4 linked regions of the Saccharomyces cerevisiae S288C genome follow. The protein of the gene in region 1 interacts with the protein of each later gene in a biochemical or structural test. Each region holds a gene or a part of one and is shown on either strand. Other genes may lie near its edges.

What was found.
Region 2: the proteins of BRF1 (region 1) and RET1 form a complex in vitro, tested with the Saccharomyces cerevisiae proteins (one study listed by BioGRID).
Region 3: the proteins of BRF1 (region 1) and BDP1 form a complex in vitro, tested with the Saccharomyces cerevisiae proteins (4 studies listed by BioGRID).
Region 4: the proteins of BRF1 (region 1) and RPC17 form a complex in vitro, tested with the Saccharomyces cerevisiae proteins (one study listed by BioGRID).

The regions. Positions count from the first base shown.
Region 1 is NC_001139.9:981,955-985,838, reverse strand, and holds BRF1 (transcription factor TFIIIB subunit BRF1), read left to right. Parts: upstream 1-1,566; coding exon 1,567-3,357; downstream 3,358-3,884. Other genes in the region: CPD1 (2',3'-cyclic-nucleotide 3'-phosphodiesterase), read right to left, coding at 154-873; SDA1 (Sda1p), read left to right, coding at 3,771-3,884. UniProt on the Saccharomyces cerevisiae protein: General activator of RNA polymerase III transcription. Interacts with TBP. Binds to Pol III subunit C34 and to the TAU135 component of TFIIIC.
Region 2 is NC_001147.6:729,499-735,444, reverse strand, and holds RET1 (DNA-directed RNA polymerase III core subunit RET1), read left to right. Parts: upstream 1-1,987; coding exon 1,988-5,437; downstream 5,438-5,946. Other genes in the region: tyrosine protein phosphatase PTP2, read right to left, coding at 1-1,520; mRNA-binding ribosome synthesis protein NOC2, read right to left, coding at 5,801-5,946. UniProt on the Saccharomyces cerevisiae protein: DNA-dependent RNA polymerase catalyzes the transcription of DNA into RNA using the four ribonucleoside triphosphates as substrates. Second largest core component of RNA polymerase III which synthesizes small RNAs, such as 5S rRNA and tRNAs.
Region 3 is NC_001146.8:553,188-557,397, forward strand, and holds BDP1 (transcription factor TFIIIB subunit BDP1), read left to right. Parts: upstream 1-1,860; coding exon 1,861-3,645; downstream 3,646-4,210. Other genes in the region: YNL040W (putative alanine--tRNA ligase), read left to right, coding at 193-1,563; phosphatidylinositol N-acetylglucosaminyltransferase GPI15, read left to right, coding at 3,833-4,210. UniProt on the Saccharomyces cerevisiae protein: General activator of RNA polymerase III transcription.
Region 4 is NC_001142.9:413,774-416,414, reverse strand, and holds RPC17 (DNA-directed RNA polymerase III subunit RPC17), read left to right. Parts: upstream 1-1,644; coding exon 1,645-2,130; downstream 2,131-2,641. UniProt on the Saccharomyces cerevisiae protein: DNA-dependent RNA polymerase catalyzes the transcription of DNA into RNA using the four ribonucleoside triphosphates as substrates. Specific peripheric component of RNA polymerase III which synthesizes small RNAs, such as 5S rRNA and tRNAs.

The sequences.
Region 1 (3,884 bases):
TTTTAATTTTCAAGGGATTTCCATCCCTTGCGAAGGCAAGCGATCAGTATACGTAAATCTCTAACTAGAACATTTTCAAGTATTGACAGATATGAAAAAAAAAAAAAAAAAAAAAATTCTATATAATTACTTACAGTGCACATAAATGTATGCTTAAACGTCCACCCGTCCCAATACCTCCCATTCTTGAACGGGCCCCACACAGTTGACCACTTTAAACGTTCCTGGGATATTCCAAGATAGCGATGAAGATACGTCAAAATCCCATCTCATTTGCACTTCATTGGACCCATCAGCGTTTCCGGAACCCTTACGTTTCTCTCTTGGAACTAGTTGCACGTCTAGAGCATCTTCAATTCTTTGTTGAACTACTCGCAATGACGCCTGACTTACCGGATGAATATCCGAATAAAGCAATGAGACGTGAGGATGGAATTCCTCGTGCACCCAAGTGGCGGCACGGCTACTTCGCGTCTCAGGATCGATCTCTACGTACATCTCTCTCATGACTTGTGCGACCCCATAAAGTATTTTGTTCTTGTTACACTCGAGCACAATTTTCTTGAAATATTGTTTACCTACACTGCATCCATTGAAAGATACCAAAGGAGCTGCAACAGCATGGGATACCTGTCCCTTACGTCCTTTCTTTGCTGTTTGGTGTGACCTTATCGATTGGATGGCAGCAACACAGGAGGTCAAGATTTTGTTGACATCATCTTTACTATTGCACACCAAATGGGACGTTACCGTCACATGAGGTTCAAAAACTGGTGAATCTGGGAACAACGTTTGAAACGAAAATATAAGCATCTGTAATGTCTCGTAAGCAACTGATCCTTGTGGTGGACAATACCATAATGCTATTGCCATTTTTCTGTGGTTACTGATATTAGCAAATTGAAGTATCGCGAATTCCCAAACTAGAATAATTACAATTGATGGTAAAATAAAATGATAAAATAATCTGATTAGATTCTTGGTATCTCAAAAGTGACTTTGATAACTTCTTGATTGTTTGTGCCCCTGCTTACGAATTGGGTTCTTATTAAACTTCACCTGCATCGCTTCTCCATCGGATCTAACCTAAAAAAAATAAAAACCCCCCGGTAAGCACTTGATCACGCCTACAAAATCACTTAGTGAACAAAGGAAAATAGATTGTTTTTAAAGTTGTGAAGTAGTGAACTATGGCTTCCCACATACACATATATACTGATACAGATGCAATATAACATTTAGTGTTAGAAAAATTTGCTTCTATCTTGATGACATTGAATACTCTTGGACGTAAAAAAAGACATCCGATTAAAGTGGAGGTAATCTACAAGAAAAGTTGTTCTTCCCCTCATTAGAAATCTTGCAATGGTCACGGCCGTCGCTATCAAAAATCAACGAAGTGAAGTGACTCTAATTTTTGTCTATTAATGTTGCGATGGCCTTATTTGCTATTCTAAGGTTTTCGCGAAGTATCAGGTATGATAAAAAAAATCATATTTTTGATCGCATCAAGAACAATCCCAATGGTAAAAACGGTAATAAAAAAGAGTCCATAGTCATATACCAATGCCAGTGTGTAAGAACTGTCACGGAACCGAATTTGAGAGAGATCTTTCCAATGCTAACAACGATTTAGTTTGTAAAGCTTGTGGTGTTGTCTCAGAAGATAATCCTATCGTCTCTGAAGTTACATTCGGTGAAACAAGTGCAGGTGCTGCTGTAGTACAAGGTTCTTTTATCGGTGCAGGACAAAGTCATGCTGCATTTGGTGGTTCTAGTGCTCTAGAATCTAGAGAAGCCACATTGAACAATGCAAGAAGGAAATTACGCGCCGTTTCTTACGCATTACATATCCCGGAATATATCACAGATGCTGCTTTCCAATGGTATAAGCTTGCATTGGCTAATAACTTTGTACAAGGTCGTAGGTCCCAAAATGTTATCGCTTCATGTCTTTACGTTGCATGTAGAAAGGAAAAGACGCATCATATGCTGATCGACTTCTCTTCAAGGTTACAGGTGAGTGTGTATTCCATAGGAGCCACATTTTTGAAAATGGTAAAGAAATTACATATCACAGAATTGCCGTTAGCGGATCCTTCCTTATTCATTCAACATTTTGCCGAAAAATTGGATCTTGCTGACAAGAAGATCAAAGTGGTAAAAGATGCCGTAAAATTGGCTCAAAGAATGTCCAAGGACTGGATGTTTGAAGGACGTAGACCTGCAGGTATTGCCGGCGCATGTATTCTACTAGCTTGCAGGATGAATAATTTGAGAAGAACTCATACAGAGATCGTCGCAGTTTCACATGTCGCCGAGGAAACTTTACAGCAACGGTTGAACGAATTCAAAAATACAAAGGCTGCTAAACTTTCAGTTCAAAAATTTAGAGAAAATGATGTGGAAGACGGTGAGGCTAGGCCTCCCTCCTTTGTGAAGAACAGAAAGAAAGAAAGAAAAATAAAGGACTCTTTAGACAAAGAAGAGATGTTTCAAACAAGTGAAGAAGCATTGAATAAAAATCCAATTTTGACGCAAGTATTAGGAGAACAAGAACTGTCTTCCAAGGAAGTCCTGTTTTACTTAAAACAATTTTCAGAAAGAAGGGCCCGTGTTGTGGAGAGGATTAAGGCTACTAATGGTATAGATGGTGAAAATATATACCATGAAGGTTCTGAAAACGAAACAAGGAAACGCAAACTTTCTGAAGTTTCTATCCAGAACGAGCATGTTGAAGGGGAAGACAAAGAGACGGAAGGGACTGAGGAAAAAGTCAAGAAGGTAAAGACAAAAACATCAGAAGAAAAGAAAGAGAACGAATCTGGGCATTTTCAAGATGCCATTGATGGTTACTCTCTAGAAACAGACCCATATTGTCCTCGCAATTTACACTTGTTACCCACAACGGACACATACCTTTCGAAAGTTAGTGACGACCCAGATAATTTAGAAGATGTTGATGATGAGGAGTTAAACGCGCACCTATTAAACGAGGAAGCTTCTAAATTGAAGGAAAGAATTTGGATTGGTCTGAACGCAGATTTCTTACTTGAACAAGAGAGTAAACGTTTGAAACAGGAGGCAGATATTGCCACAGGTAACACATCAGTGAAAAAAAAACGTACGAGACGTAGGAATAATACTAGAAGTGACGAACCTACAAAAACTGTGGATGCAGCAGCAGCTATCGGATTGATGTCAGACTTACAAGATAAGTCTGGTTTACACGCTGCATTGAAGGCAGCTGAGGAAAGTGGTGATTTCACAACTGCTGATAGTGTCAAGAACATGTTGCAGAAGGCAAGTTTCTCCAAGAAGATTAATTACGACGCCATTGACGGTTTGTTTAGGTAACGTTTAGGTAATCAACCCTAGGAAGGAAAAAGGGAACGGAAATAAAGACGCAATACATTTGGTTTTGGCTAAAATATATAGAACATGAAGTGCAAAAGAATTAAAGGTGCATTAACTATTTAATATGTATGTGATTATATAAATCTAAAATCTCAATGTCGTAACAATCACTGTTCCATTAAAAAAACGGGTAAGGTGGAAATTTCAGTTTTTTTTTTTTTTCTTTTCTTTTGCTTGATCGGCTAAAAAATGAAAATTTTAAACTCATCTCATCGCAGATAACCATAACACGCTTAACAGATAGAACGTTCTACCACTAAAAAAACATATCAAACGTCACTTTTTTGAATAAGTAATAATAGTTAAGGAGGAAGCACAAGACGCACTGAATATACCAATCAAGGGCATCAACAATGGGTAGAAGAAGTAGAGCAGCTATGCTCCCAACAAATATCATTCTTTTACAGAATTTGGTAAAGCGTGACCCAGAGTCCTATCAAGAGGAGTTTCTTCAACAATATGCACAT
Region 2 (5,946 bases), on another chromosome or scaffold:
ACTTTATTTAAAGTAATAACCTTCCAAAAATCATCCATCGTAGAAGGAAGCGGAGCTTGGGTAGCAATATACTTGAAATCAGGATTAATTTGCGTGAGCTTCAAATAGTTCGCATTGATATAGTCGTTCGGTTTGCAGGAGTGGTTTTTTGCATCTACGGGACACATCGGATATGACTTATCTGTTTTAGTTTCGGTTGTGGATGCTTCAGAAACTGCAGGTGGTTTCGGGGAGTGAGGTAACTTTACTCTTGAATGTTCGTAAGGTAAGATATTAGAATATCTATTCTTAGTAAAAGACTGAATTCCTTCAGTAAGTTCGTAATCATTTATTGGTGACATTATAGTATCATCGGAAGATAATGGTGATGGCGAAGAAGATGTGTTGTTTTTTGGTATAATTAATTTTAGCTTTTGATTTTTCTGTATGTTGCTTTTCAAAGAACTTTTATACTGTCGTTGCAAACTAGTTAAAGAATATAATTTTGAATCATCCGTGGATTGCGGACCCCTCTGCTTTTGTGATAGCTGCTTTTGATGTAAAGGCTTTTTCTTGAATTTCAGGCATTTCTCTAATCTTTGCATTTCAAAATTTTCTAAAGTTTCAAAATTGTTAAAGAGTTTCTTTAATATTACCTTTTCATTTTCTTTTACGGAGCAGAATTTTAGCCAATTCGGTAAAATCGTGTCGTTAGGTGCTAAGTCAGCAGGCATATTGAATTGGAAAAACTTTTGCAAAGAATTAGGAGAATAATGAATTAGATCCTTTTTCAGAGACTGTAAAAATATTTTATTTGAATCATTGGGTGGAGGTATGTTTATTCTTAAATTTAAAGTTGACCTTGAAGTTAAGTTTACATTCAAGTTCAAATCCAATTTGGGCAAGATGCAATTTTTCTTATTTTTTCCTAATGAGGGGGCCTTGCTATCATTCAGAGAGCCTTCGAGAAGAAAGAATTTCAAATAAGGAGATGGAAAAAAATGGCAGATGAACTTTTTAAACTTCTCAATGAGGCAAAAAGTTGTCTTTAAACAACTCGAAATTCTGCTAAACGAATCACTGAAAATGAAAATATCATAATCTTTGATGATCTTTGTGAACTCAATATACTTTTCATCAGATCCAAGGTAATTCTTTAGTAAGTTCTCGAACGGGTAGTTCGACCTTTTCACCAAAGTGCTGGGTAGCGGCAACGATAAAACTGTGATATCCTTAGCATTGGTATTGCCTAAAAATGAGTTGGTATTGGGGCCAGCGCACAGATCTAGTAAAAGTATTTTAGAATGCCTATTAGAGTTGTTCCGCCGTATGTTAACGTCGTCCAAATCTTTGCACGGTTTAATTTGATTTTGGGGAAGGTTAGACAGATTTATAGTTTCACCTCTATAGACGGGCATTTGACCAGGTGTTCTAGTTTGATTGACTTGTATGTGGCCCTTTTCCGATATAGCGGAAGAAGCCATTCTATTGCCGTTATTGTCTCTTTTGCCATTACGATATTGCTGTGCTATGCGATCCATCAATAGCAACGTCGATCCTATTTTATTGTAAACTATTAATAGCACTGGGGATCGGACCTAGGCTTCCAAACTAAGCGAAAAGGGCTGTGCAAAGCGGAAGAGGGGAACCAGGGGAATCGGGTCTGTCAGGTTGAGTGATCTCGTCTTTCTTGTCAAAGGTCGCAGCGCGGTGTTCAAAGAAAGATGATGATTCAAAGTTGGCACTTCCCAAAGGTTTTAATAGGTGCATTATTTTTATATATTCCTTATTGTTAGGTGTACTACACATAAAGATATAAATAGTTCCATAAAGCAGGCGCGTATTTTCCAGATCACGTCGGACGAAATTGTAATTGTGAGATGAGCTGAAAATTTTTCGATCTATGCTTAAGTGATGATATATGGACAAGTTAGGAAAGAATTAAAGGGAGTTTAAAGTGTTGATAATTGAGCGTTTTAATCGCTAGGGACTTAGTGCTTGTTGAAAAATGGTTGCTGCGACAAAAAGACGGAAAACTCATATACATAAGCATGTGAAAGACGAGGCTTTTGATGATTTATTGAAACCAGTATATAAAGGTAAGAAACTAACTGATGAAATCAATACTGCTCAGGATAAGTGGCACCTTTTACCAGCATTCTTGAAGGTTAAAGGTTTGGTGAAGCAACATCTTGACTCATTTAACTACTTCGTTGATACAGATTTAAAAAAAATTATAAAGGCAAATCAATTAATTTTGAGTGATGTTGATCCAGAATTCTACCTGAAGTACGTCGATATTAGAGTGGGTAAGAAGTCCTCTTCTTCGACAAAAGATTATTTGACTCCGCCTCATGAGTGTAGGCTTAGAGATATGACATACTCTGCACCAATCTACGTGGATATAGAATACACTAGAGGTAGAAACATTATTATGCATAAAGACGTGGAAATTGGTAGGATGCCGATCATGCTGAGATCTAATAAATGTATCCTATATGATGCTGATGAATCGAAAATGGCTAAATTAAACGAGTGTCCGTTGGATCCTGGTGGTTACTTTATTGTTAACGGTACCGAAAAAGTAATTCTTGTTCAAGAACAATTATCCAAGAATCGTATTATTGTGGAGGCAGATGAGAAGAAAGGCATTGTTCAGGCCTCCGTTACTTCATCTACCCATGAAAGAAAATCTAAGACTTATGTCATTACCAAAAATGGCAAGATCTATTTGAAGCACAATTCCATCGCTGAAGAAATTCCTATTGCTATTGTTCTCAAAGCCTGTGGTATTTTATCAGATTTAGAAATTATGCAATTGGTTTGCGGTAATGATAGTAGCTACCAAGATATTTTTGCAGTCAATTTGGAAGAATCTTCGAAATTAGATATTTACACACAACAGCAAGCTTTAGAGTATATTGGTGCAAAAGTAAAGACAATGAGAAGGCAAAAACTGACTATCCTGCAAGAGGGTATAGAGGCCATTGCTACCACGGTTATTGCACATTTGACTGTGGAAGCCCTTGACTTTAGAGAAAAGGCTTTATATATTGCCATGATGACGCGCAGGGTGGTGATGGCAATGTATAACCCTAAGATGATTGATGATAGAGATTATGTTGGTAATAAACGTCTTGAATTAGCAGGCCAATTGATTTCTTTATTGTTCGAAGATTTGTTCAAAAAGTTTAATAATGATTTTAAACTAAGCATTGATAAGGTCTTGAAAAAACCAAATAGGGCTATGGAATACGATGCATTATTGTCAATTAACGTCCATTCAAATAACATCACCAGCGGACTGAACAGAGCTATCTCAACCGGTAATTGGTCTCTTAAAAGATTTAAGATGGAAAGAGCGGGTGTTACACATGTTCTTTCCAGACTATCTTATATTTCCGCATTGGGTATGATGACAAGAATTTCTTCTCAGTTTGAAAAATCAAGAAAAGTTTCCGGTCCAAGAGCATTACAACCTTCTCAATTTGGTATGCTTTGTACTGCAGATACTCCAGAAGGTGAGGCGTGTGGTCTAGTGAAAAATTTAGCATTAATGACTCATATTACTACAGATGACGAAGAGGAACCTATAAAGAAATTATGTTATGTTCTTGGTGTAGAAGACATAACATTGATTGACAGTGCATCCTTGCATTTAAACTATGGTGTTTATTTGAATGGTACTTTAATTGGTTCAATCAGATTCCCAACAAAATTCGTTACTCAGTTCAGACATCTGAGAAGAACAGGTAAAGTGTCGGAGTTTATCTCAATTTATTCAAATTCTCACCAAATGGCAGTTCATATTGCAACAGATGGTGGTAGAATTTGTAGGCCATTAATCATTGTTTCTGATGGTCAATCTCGCGTGAAAGATATTCATTTACGCAAATTATTAGATGGTGAGTTAGATTTCGATGATTTTTTGAAACTCGGATTGGTGGAATATTTAGATGTCAATGAAGAAAACGATTCTTACATTGCATTGTATGAAAAAGATATAGTTCCCTCGATGACACATTTAGAAATCGAGCCATTCACAATTTTAGGTGCTGTTGCTGGTTTAATTCCATATCCACATCATAACCAATCCCCTCGTAACACATATCAATGTGCGATGGGTAAGCAAGCGATTGGTGCAATCGCCTACAATCAATTCAAGAGAATAGATACATTATTATACTTGATGACTTATCCACAACAGCCAATGGTGAAAACCAAAACAATTGAATTGATCGATTATGATAAATTACCTGCTGGTCAAAATGCTACGGTTGCTGTCATGTCCTATTCTGGTTATGATATTGAAGATGCTTTGGTTTTGAATAAGTCATCCATCGATAGAGGTTTCGGCCGTTGCGAAACACGTAGAAAGACAACCACTGTTTTGAAAAGATATGCGAACCATACCCAAGATATCATCGGTGGTATGAGAGTTGATGAAAATGGAGATCCTATCTGGCAACATCAATCTCTTGGTCCTGATGGTCTAGGTGAGGTGGGTATGAAGGTCCAAAGTGGACAAATTTATATAAATAAGTCAGTTCCAACTAACTCAGCAGACGCCCCAAACCCAAACAACGTAAACGTCCAAACTCAATATAGGGAAGCTCCGGTAATATATAGAGGTCCAGAACCTTCTCACATTGACCAAGTTATGATGTCTGTTTCGGATAACGATCAAGCTTTAATCAAAGTTTTGCTAAGACAAAACAGAAGGCCAGAATTAGGTGACAAATTTTCTTCTAGACATGGTCAAAAAGGTGTTTGTGGTATTATTGTAAAGCAAGAAGACATGCCCTTCAACGATCAAGGTATAGTTCCAGACATTATCATGAACCCTCACGGTTTTCCATCTCGTATGACTGTGGGTAAAATGATCGAACTGATATCGGGTAAAGCTGGTGTATTGAATGGTACATTGGAATATGGTACTTGTTTTGGTGGTTCTAAACTTGAAGATATGTCTAAGATTTTGGTAGACCAAGGTTTCAACTATTCCGGTAAGGATATGTTATATTCAGGTATAACAGGTGAGTGTTTACAGGCTTACATCTTTTTTGGCCCCATTTACTATCAAAAGTTAAAGCATATGGTCTTAGATAAGATGCATGCAAGAGCTCGTGGTCCAAGGGCTGTTTTGACACGTCAACCAACTGAGGGTAGATCTAGAGATGGTGGTCTGAGGTTGGGTGAGATGGAGAGGGATTGTGTAATCGCGTATGGTGCTTCACAATTGCTGTTAGAAAGGTTGATGATTAGTTCAGATGCTTTTGAAGTTGATGTCTGCGATAAATGTGGATTAATGGGCTATAGTGGTTGGTGTACTACCTGCAAAAGTGCTGAGAATATTATTAAGATGACTATTCCATATGCAGCAAAACTGTTATTCCAGGAATTATTATCCATGAACATAGCCCCAAGATTAAGATTGGAAGATATCTTCCAGCAGTAAGAAATCATATATCTTGTACTAAATTTTGCGTTATGTTAGCAATCATATCTATTTCGTGAGGAACTTTAAGAGAGTTGAACGATTTCGAAAATTATATAACAGTAAACCGTACTTCTTTCATTTTTGTACCTTGCTTTACATCATTACTTTTTATAAGATCCATCGAACGTTTGACGTGTTTTCTATCCATAAACCGGCCAAAATATAAAAATATCCAGCTGACAAGAGAAAGCTTGGAGTGCTCACATGTTAGCACATGTGAGCACAATGATATATACGCTTTAAAAAAGACTTTTCTTTATTTTACACATTTATAGACTTAACTATTGAATTCAAGACAAAAAATCAAATCTTGCTGAGTTGTTAAGCGTCTGACATTTCAACATCTTCGTTGTCATCATCACTTTCCAGACTGTTTAATAATTTTGCTTCTTCTGTTTCTCTTTCTTTGTCTTGTTCTTCCATACTTTCTCTCATTAATCTGGCCTTTTCTTCCTTAACTTCACGTT
Region 3 (4,210 bases), on another chromosome or scaffold:
GTGACTTATTGCAAGCAATTTGTACGAAATATGCTTACACTTTTCATTAGTAAAAGAACCAACCACCCATCATTAACATCTTTTTATTTTTTATCCTTATCGTGTAAAAAAAACTTAAGAATAGACATCCTGGTGACGCATATCGACGAAAGCACACAACAGCGTCAAAAATTGATTAAAAGGTAAGTTATCATGCCCACACCTATGACGCCTGTCAAGGTCGGCGCTTTAGCCTGCCAGAGGAACTCATTTCTCTTCGATGGGTTCAAAACACTGGTTGTTTCTTGCGAACCAACGAAGAATAAAAAGGGAGAGATTGAAGGTTATGAGATTGAACTACAAGATACTATTCTGTTCCCCGAAGGTGGGGGCCAACCAAGTGATTCTGGTTTTTTGAAAATTGTTGAAGGGAATCGTAATTCGTCGAAAATTGAGAAGATATTAGTTTCACACGTTTCTCGTTTCGGTTTACATGCAAAGCATCATGTCAATGACTACATTGAGCCCGGAACAACAGTGGAAGTGGCCGTGGACGAGCAAAAGAGAATGGATTATATGCAACAACATACTGGTCAACACTTGTTAAGTGCCATTCTGGAACGCAACTACAAAGTAGACACTGTATCTTGGTCGATGGGTGGTATCATCACAAAGAAAAAACCTGTTCTAGAGCCTAGCGACTATTTCAATTATATAGAGTTGAACAGGAAATTGACTCTCGACGAAATAACGAACGTATCAGATGAGATTAATCAGTTGATCATCAACTTTCCTCAGGAAATTATTGTAGAGGAAAGAATCGGTGAAGAAACAGTAGATGAAGTTAGTACATCCAAAATTCCAGACGATTACGACCTCTCCAAAGGTGTTCTACGTACTATCCACATCGGTGACATTGATTCTAACCCATGTTGTGGTACACATTTGAAATGTACCTCTCAAATAGGTTCCATTTTAATTCTTTCCAATCAATCAGCCGTAAGAGGTTCAAACTCAAGGCTCTATTTCATGTGTGGGAAGCGGGTTTCTTTGTATGCAAAATCTGTTAATAAAATTTTACTGGATTCTAAAAACTTATTGAGTTGTTCAGAAACTCAAATTTCTGAGAAGATAACAAGGCAAACCAAACAAATTCAACAATTAAATAAAAGAGAACAGTATTGGATAAAGAGATTAGCACGTACCGCTTCTGAAGAATTAATGAACACACTGAAAGCCAGTGGAAAGAAAAGGGCTTATTTTATGGAAGAAGAATACGGAACATTGGAACTGTTGCTACAGATCCACAAGGAAGTATCTAATTTTTTGAAAGATGATACAGAAGGTTACGAAATTATCCTATGCGGTTATGAAAGACAAACGAACACTGGCTCACTGCTAATTCTTTCGGAATCGGGTGAAAAAATTGCCAATTTGGCTGCTAACTTAGGTTCGATACTACAAAACCTAAAAGGCGGTGGTGGTAAGAAAGGTGGCAAGTGGCAAGGTAAAATTACATCCATTTCGAATGCCGAGTTTGCCGCCCTCTCTGATTATTTAAGCCATGATTTCGCATCATGTTGAGAAATGTGCCATTTGTATACGCAGATTTGTTGTATACATAATGGTAGGTATTTATCGTGATCAAGTCTCAGGAAGTCAATAAGCATGGTCTATTCTTTTCTTTTATGTAGTTTATAATAGGCAACTTTAATGTTCCCAGAAGACGCGTTTTCCATTACTTATTATACCCAAAAAAAAAAATTAAAAAAAAACAACTTCGAACATGCAAACGCAAAGCGAAGGAAATTATAACTTTGACTTCTAACCTATTAAAGAAATACAAACAACCGGCAAGGAGCCACTGATTACCAGGTATTTATGAGTAGTATTGTTAATAAAAGTGGTACACGCTTTGCCCCTAAAGTAAGGCAGCGTAGAGCCGCCACTGGAGGAACACCAACTCCAAAGCCAAGAACCCCTCAACTTTTCATTCCCGAAAGTAAAGAAATAGAAGAAGATAATAGTGATAACGATAAAGGTGTTGATGAAAATGAAACGGCTATTGTTGAGAAACCTTCGCTAGTTGGAGAACGCTCTTTAGAAGGCTTTACCTTAACCGGCACTAATGGACATGATAATGAAATAGGTGATGAGGGCCCCATTGACGCCTCGACCCAGAACCCCAAAGCAGACGTTATAGAAGATAATGTGACTCTAAAACCGGCACCCTTGCAAACCCACCGAGACCAGAAGGTACCGAGATCCAGCAGATTAGCTTCACTGAGTAAGGACAACGAAAGTCGTCCAAGTTTTAAACCGTCATTTCTCGATTCTTCCAGTAACAGTAATGGGACTGCGCGACGTTTATCTACAATCTCCAATAAGCTTCCTAAAAAGATAAGGCTTGGAAGCATTACAGAAAACGATATGAATCTGAAAACTTTCAAAAGACATAGGGTTTTGGGCAAACCTTCTTCGGCTAAGAAACCAGCAGGTGCACACAGAATCAGTATTGTCTCCAAAATTTCTCCACCTACGGCAATGACCGATTCTTTGGACAGGAATGAATTTTCGTCAGAAACTTCTACATCAAGAGAAGCTGATGAGAATGAAAATTATGTGATTAGCAAAGTCAAAGATATCCCGAAAAAAGTGAGAGATGGGGAGTCTGCTAAATATTTTATCGATGAAGAGAATTTTACGATGGCAGAGTTGTGTAAGCCAAACTTTCCTATTGGTCAAATATCTGAAAACTTTGAAAAATCTAAAATGGCAAAAAAGGCAAAATTGGAAAAGAGAAGGCATCTTAGAGAACTCAGAATGCGCGCACGACAAGAATTTAAACCACTACACTCATTGACTAAAGAAGAACAGGAAGAAGAAGAGGAGAAGAGAAAGGAAGAAAGAGATAAACTACTCAACGCTGACATTCCTGAGTCAGACCGCAAAGCACATACGGCGATCCAACTGAAGCTTAACCCTGATGGTACTATGGCAATTGATGAAGAGACTATGGTTGTTGACAGACACAAAAATGCTAGTATCGAAAATGAATATAAAGAAAAAGTTGATGAAAACCCTTTTGCCAATCTTTATAATTACGGGTCGTATGGTAGGGGTTCATACACAGACCCGTGGACTGTGGAAGAAATGATAAAGTTCTACAAGGCGCTTTCTATGTGGGGGACAGATTTCAATTTGATCTCACAATTATACCCTTATAGATCAAGAAAACAAGTGAAGGCCAAATTCGTTAATGAGGAGAAGAAACGTCCAATATTGATTGAATTGGCCCTTCGATCTAAGCTACCGCCTAATTTTGATGAGTATTGCTGCGAAATCAAGAAGAACATTGGTACAGTAGCAGACTTCAACGAGAAACTAATCGAATTACAAAACGAGCACAAACATCATATGAAGGAAATCGAAGAAGCAAAGAATACGGCAAAGGAGGAAGACCAAACTGCACAAAGGCTAAATGATGCTAATTTGAATAAAAAGGGATCTGGTGGTATTATGACAAATGATTTGAAAGTTTATAGAAAAACGGAAGTTGTTCTGGGTACAATTGATGACTTGAAAAGGAAGAAACTCAAAGAAAGGAATAATGATGACAATGAGGATAATGAAGGAAGTGAAGAAGAGCCTGAGATTGATCAATAAGAGACATTTATATGCATACATAATGGATAAATAGCACAACTTTTTGTTGTATTATATCATTTTCTTCAGGTGTACCGCGGCATCAATAAATGAAGCGATGTTCGGAAGAAAAAATTGGCAACGAAAACAGTATTATGAAAGTTACATATGAGGATCGTTCTATAAGCAAAAGAAACAAAAGGATGATATGATTAGTAAAGAGTATGAATTTGGTAAGACTAGTATACTGAATAGAAAGAAGTATACATTAGTTATCGATGAAGACAAGAATGGCAATTTTATAAGATTTACCGTTTTACCTGTATCTAACCGAAAGTTCAAAAAAGTCAAGCAAAATGGGAGGGTAGAGATTAACATGGGCATACAATATCACCAAATTGTACTTATTTTACTACTGAATATTTTGTTCTATGTAATTTGCCTAAGATCAAGATTTCTCGAACATATTAATAGAACTTTTGAAGTGACAATCGCGCGAAGTTTCCAGATCTTAATTATAATGGGATTGTTTGCCTTAGGTACAATTATACTTGTGAGGGGACCTAGTGTGGAAACTGTAACAATT
Region 4 (2,641 bases), on another chromosome or scaffold:
CAAAAGAGGTGTAAAACATGCGCCGATTAGTCATATCAAACATGACAAATATAACAATACTGAGACTATTTACTATAGTTTCTATGTAATGACCCATATCCTTACATATACAAACGTCAAGTTAATTGTTCAAGTAACAGATATTTAACTTTACATTATCACATAGTCTATATCGTTCTCCATCCTGACACATCAATGACGTTTGCGTCTAATTGCTTCACAATTACAAATTCATCAGTAATAAAGAATAGTATGTCACTATTCTAACAGATAATATGCCAGTAATATGACTACTGGTCAATATTAAGCATAACTGTAAGACTGGATTTTGTAATGTCACCTATTAGAAAATGTTAGCCTAAATTTTCAACAAAAGTTGAAGCGGTGGCTCAATGGTAGAGCTTTCGACTCCAATTAAATCTTGGAAATTCCACGGAATAAGATTGCAATCGAAGGGTTGCAGGTTCAATTCCTGTCCGTTTCAATTTATTTTTTTATTTTTTTTGCACCATATCGTTCATGGTGATTCTCTCTTTCCTAGCCGCCAATAACGTCGTAACAATACCGTCCTCTTCCCTTTCTCTTGTTGCAGATTAGGTCTGAAACGAGATAAAAGTCTTACAGAGAAGTCGGCAATGCATACTTACTAAGAGCATGCATTCTAAAGTATGCTTCGTGCGTTTTAGGATAGATAAAGTATCATTTAATTCCGCTATTTGTGAATCGTTAAATGTCACAGGCAAATCGACATGTTAATGATCTTACGACAGAGTAGTTTATGCCGAGGGTTACTTATATTTCAACTTGTACATCTCTTAGTCTTGAATATCCGGCACAATTTTCATTATTTTGCTAGTGCGTGGATCCTTTGGCGCTGACACTAACCGGTAAATTGTACTTTCGTTCATCTTTCCTTGTCATAAACTCTTCGTCAGTAATTTCTTTAGCAATAGAAGCTAAAACAAGCTTATTAGCAAACAGTTCGTGTACACAACTATGAGCAATCCATTACATTAAAAGGGTTTACTGTATAATGTTATATATGTAGCATGAATTATAAAATGGTCCTCCCAATCATTTTGATAGGTTATTCTGCGGAATGATCAAGCTTTTCTAGATTCCTTCAGATAATATCATATGTTAAGGAGAAGAACAATTTTGCTTAATCAAACTTCTGGTCACATGAGTTGAACAGAATGTAACCTTTTATTGATAGTCTGCAGTCTGGTTCTCCACGAACTACATATACTATTTCTATTTACAAAATAGTGTGATATTTCACCTTCTATGAGATGAAATACAAAAGAAAGCTTCGCTGCAAGGTTGAAAGATAATTAGCACTTATTCCTTGAATAAGTGGGCAAGAAAAAAATATTAGCCCTGTAGGGGGCTCGAACCCCTAACCTTATGATTAAGAGTCATACGCGCTACCGATTGCGCCAACAAGGCTAATTCGTTGAAAAATCCTTCAATTCCTGAAAATTATACCAAGTAAAAAAAGGAAAATTGCCTGAAAAATTATTTTTTTCAATGCCATCGATCTATGAAAGTTAAGCAAATAACAGCCACAGTAGAAGAGAAGTTGAGTGAATCCAACACCCACCACTGAAAAAATCGACACTTAAACAAAAAACTTTAAACGTTATGAAAGTTCTTGAGGAAAGGAATGCATTTTTAAGTGACTATGAAGTCTTGAAGTTCCTAACAGATCTAGAAAAAAAACATCTTTGGGACCAAAAAAGTTTGGCTGCGCTGAAGAAAAGTCGCTCGAAAGGTAAGCAGAATAGGCCCTACAATCATCCTGAATTGCAAGGTATTACTCGCAATGTGGTTAACTATCTCAGTATAAACAAAAACTTTATCAACCAGGAAGATGAAGGCGAGGAACGAGAAAGCAGTGGTGCAAAAGATGCTGAAAAATCGGGTATAAGCAAAATGAGCGATGAAAGCTTTGCTGAGTTGATGACTAAACTGAATTCTTTTAAATTATTCAAGGCTGAAAAACTGCAGATTGTCAATCAACTTCCTGCCAATATGGTCCACCTTTACTCCATAGTGGAGGAGTGTGATGCAAGATTTGACGAAAAAACAATTGAGGAAATGCTAGAGATCATCTCTGGCTACGCATGAGTGTACAGTGCTTTGAATTGATTTGGACTGGCACTTCCGAAAAACAGAAATTACTTTGTTGTGTAACAATATAACATGTTCAATGAGTATGCATGTATTATTGAACTTAAGCATATAGAAATATTTACAAGAATATACTTTATTTTTTAGAGTTTATTGCGCACACTTTGGGTTAGTCTCGATTTTTTTTATTTCCATTGGAGGAAGGTTATTATTTGGAAATTTAGTGCTGCGTTATAAACGTCTGTAAAGCCAGTACCACAAGCAACTTCGGTGAGATTTAACTTTTGTTTATTCTGTATTTTTGTCGAGGCTTAAAAGGGTATACTAGTTGAGGGCGTTACAGTAATCCCTTCATGGCAAGAATAAAGTAATAGTTATATAATAATTGTCATACGCATTGTTATACCAGTTGACGAGTAAAAAAAGACGCACCGTGACTTCAAGAGCTGTCGCAAACAAGTTCGACAATATTTAACTTATAAACATATTAAAGCTTTCAAAAATATAG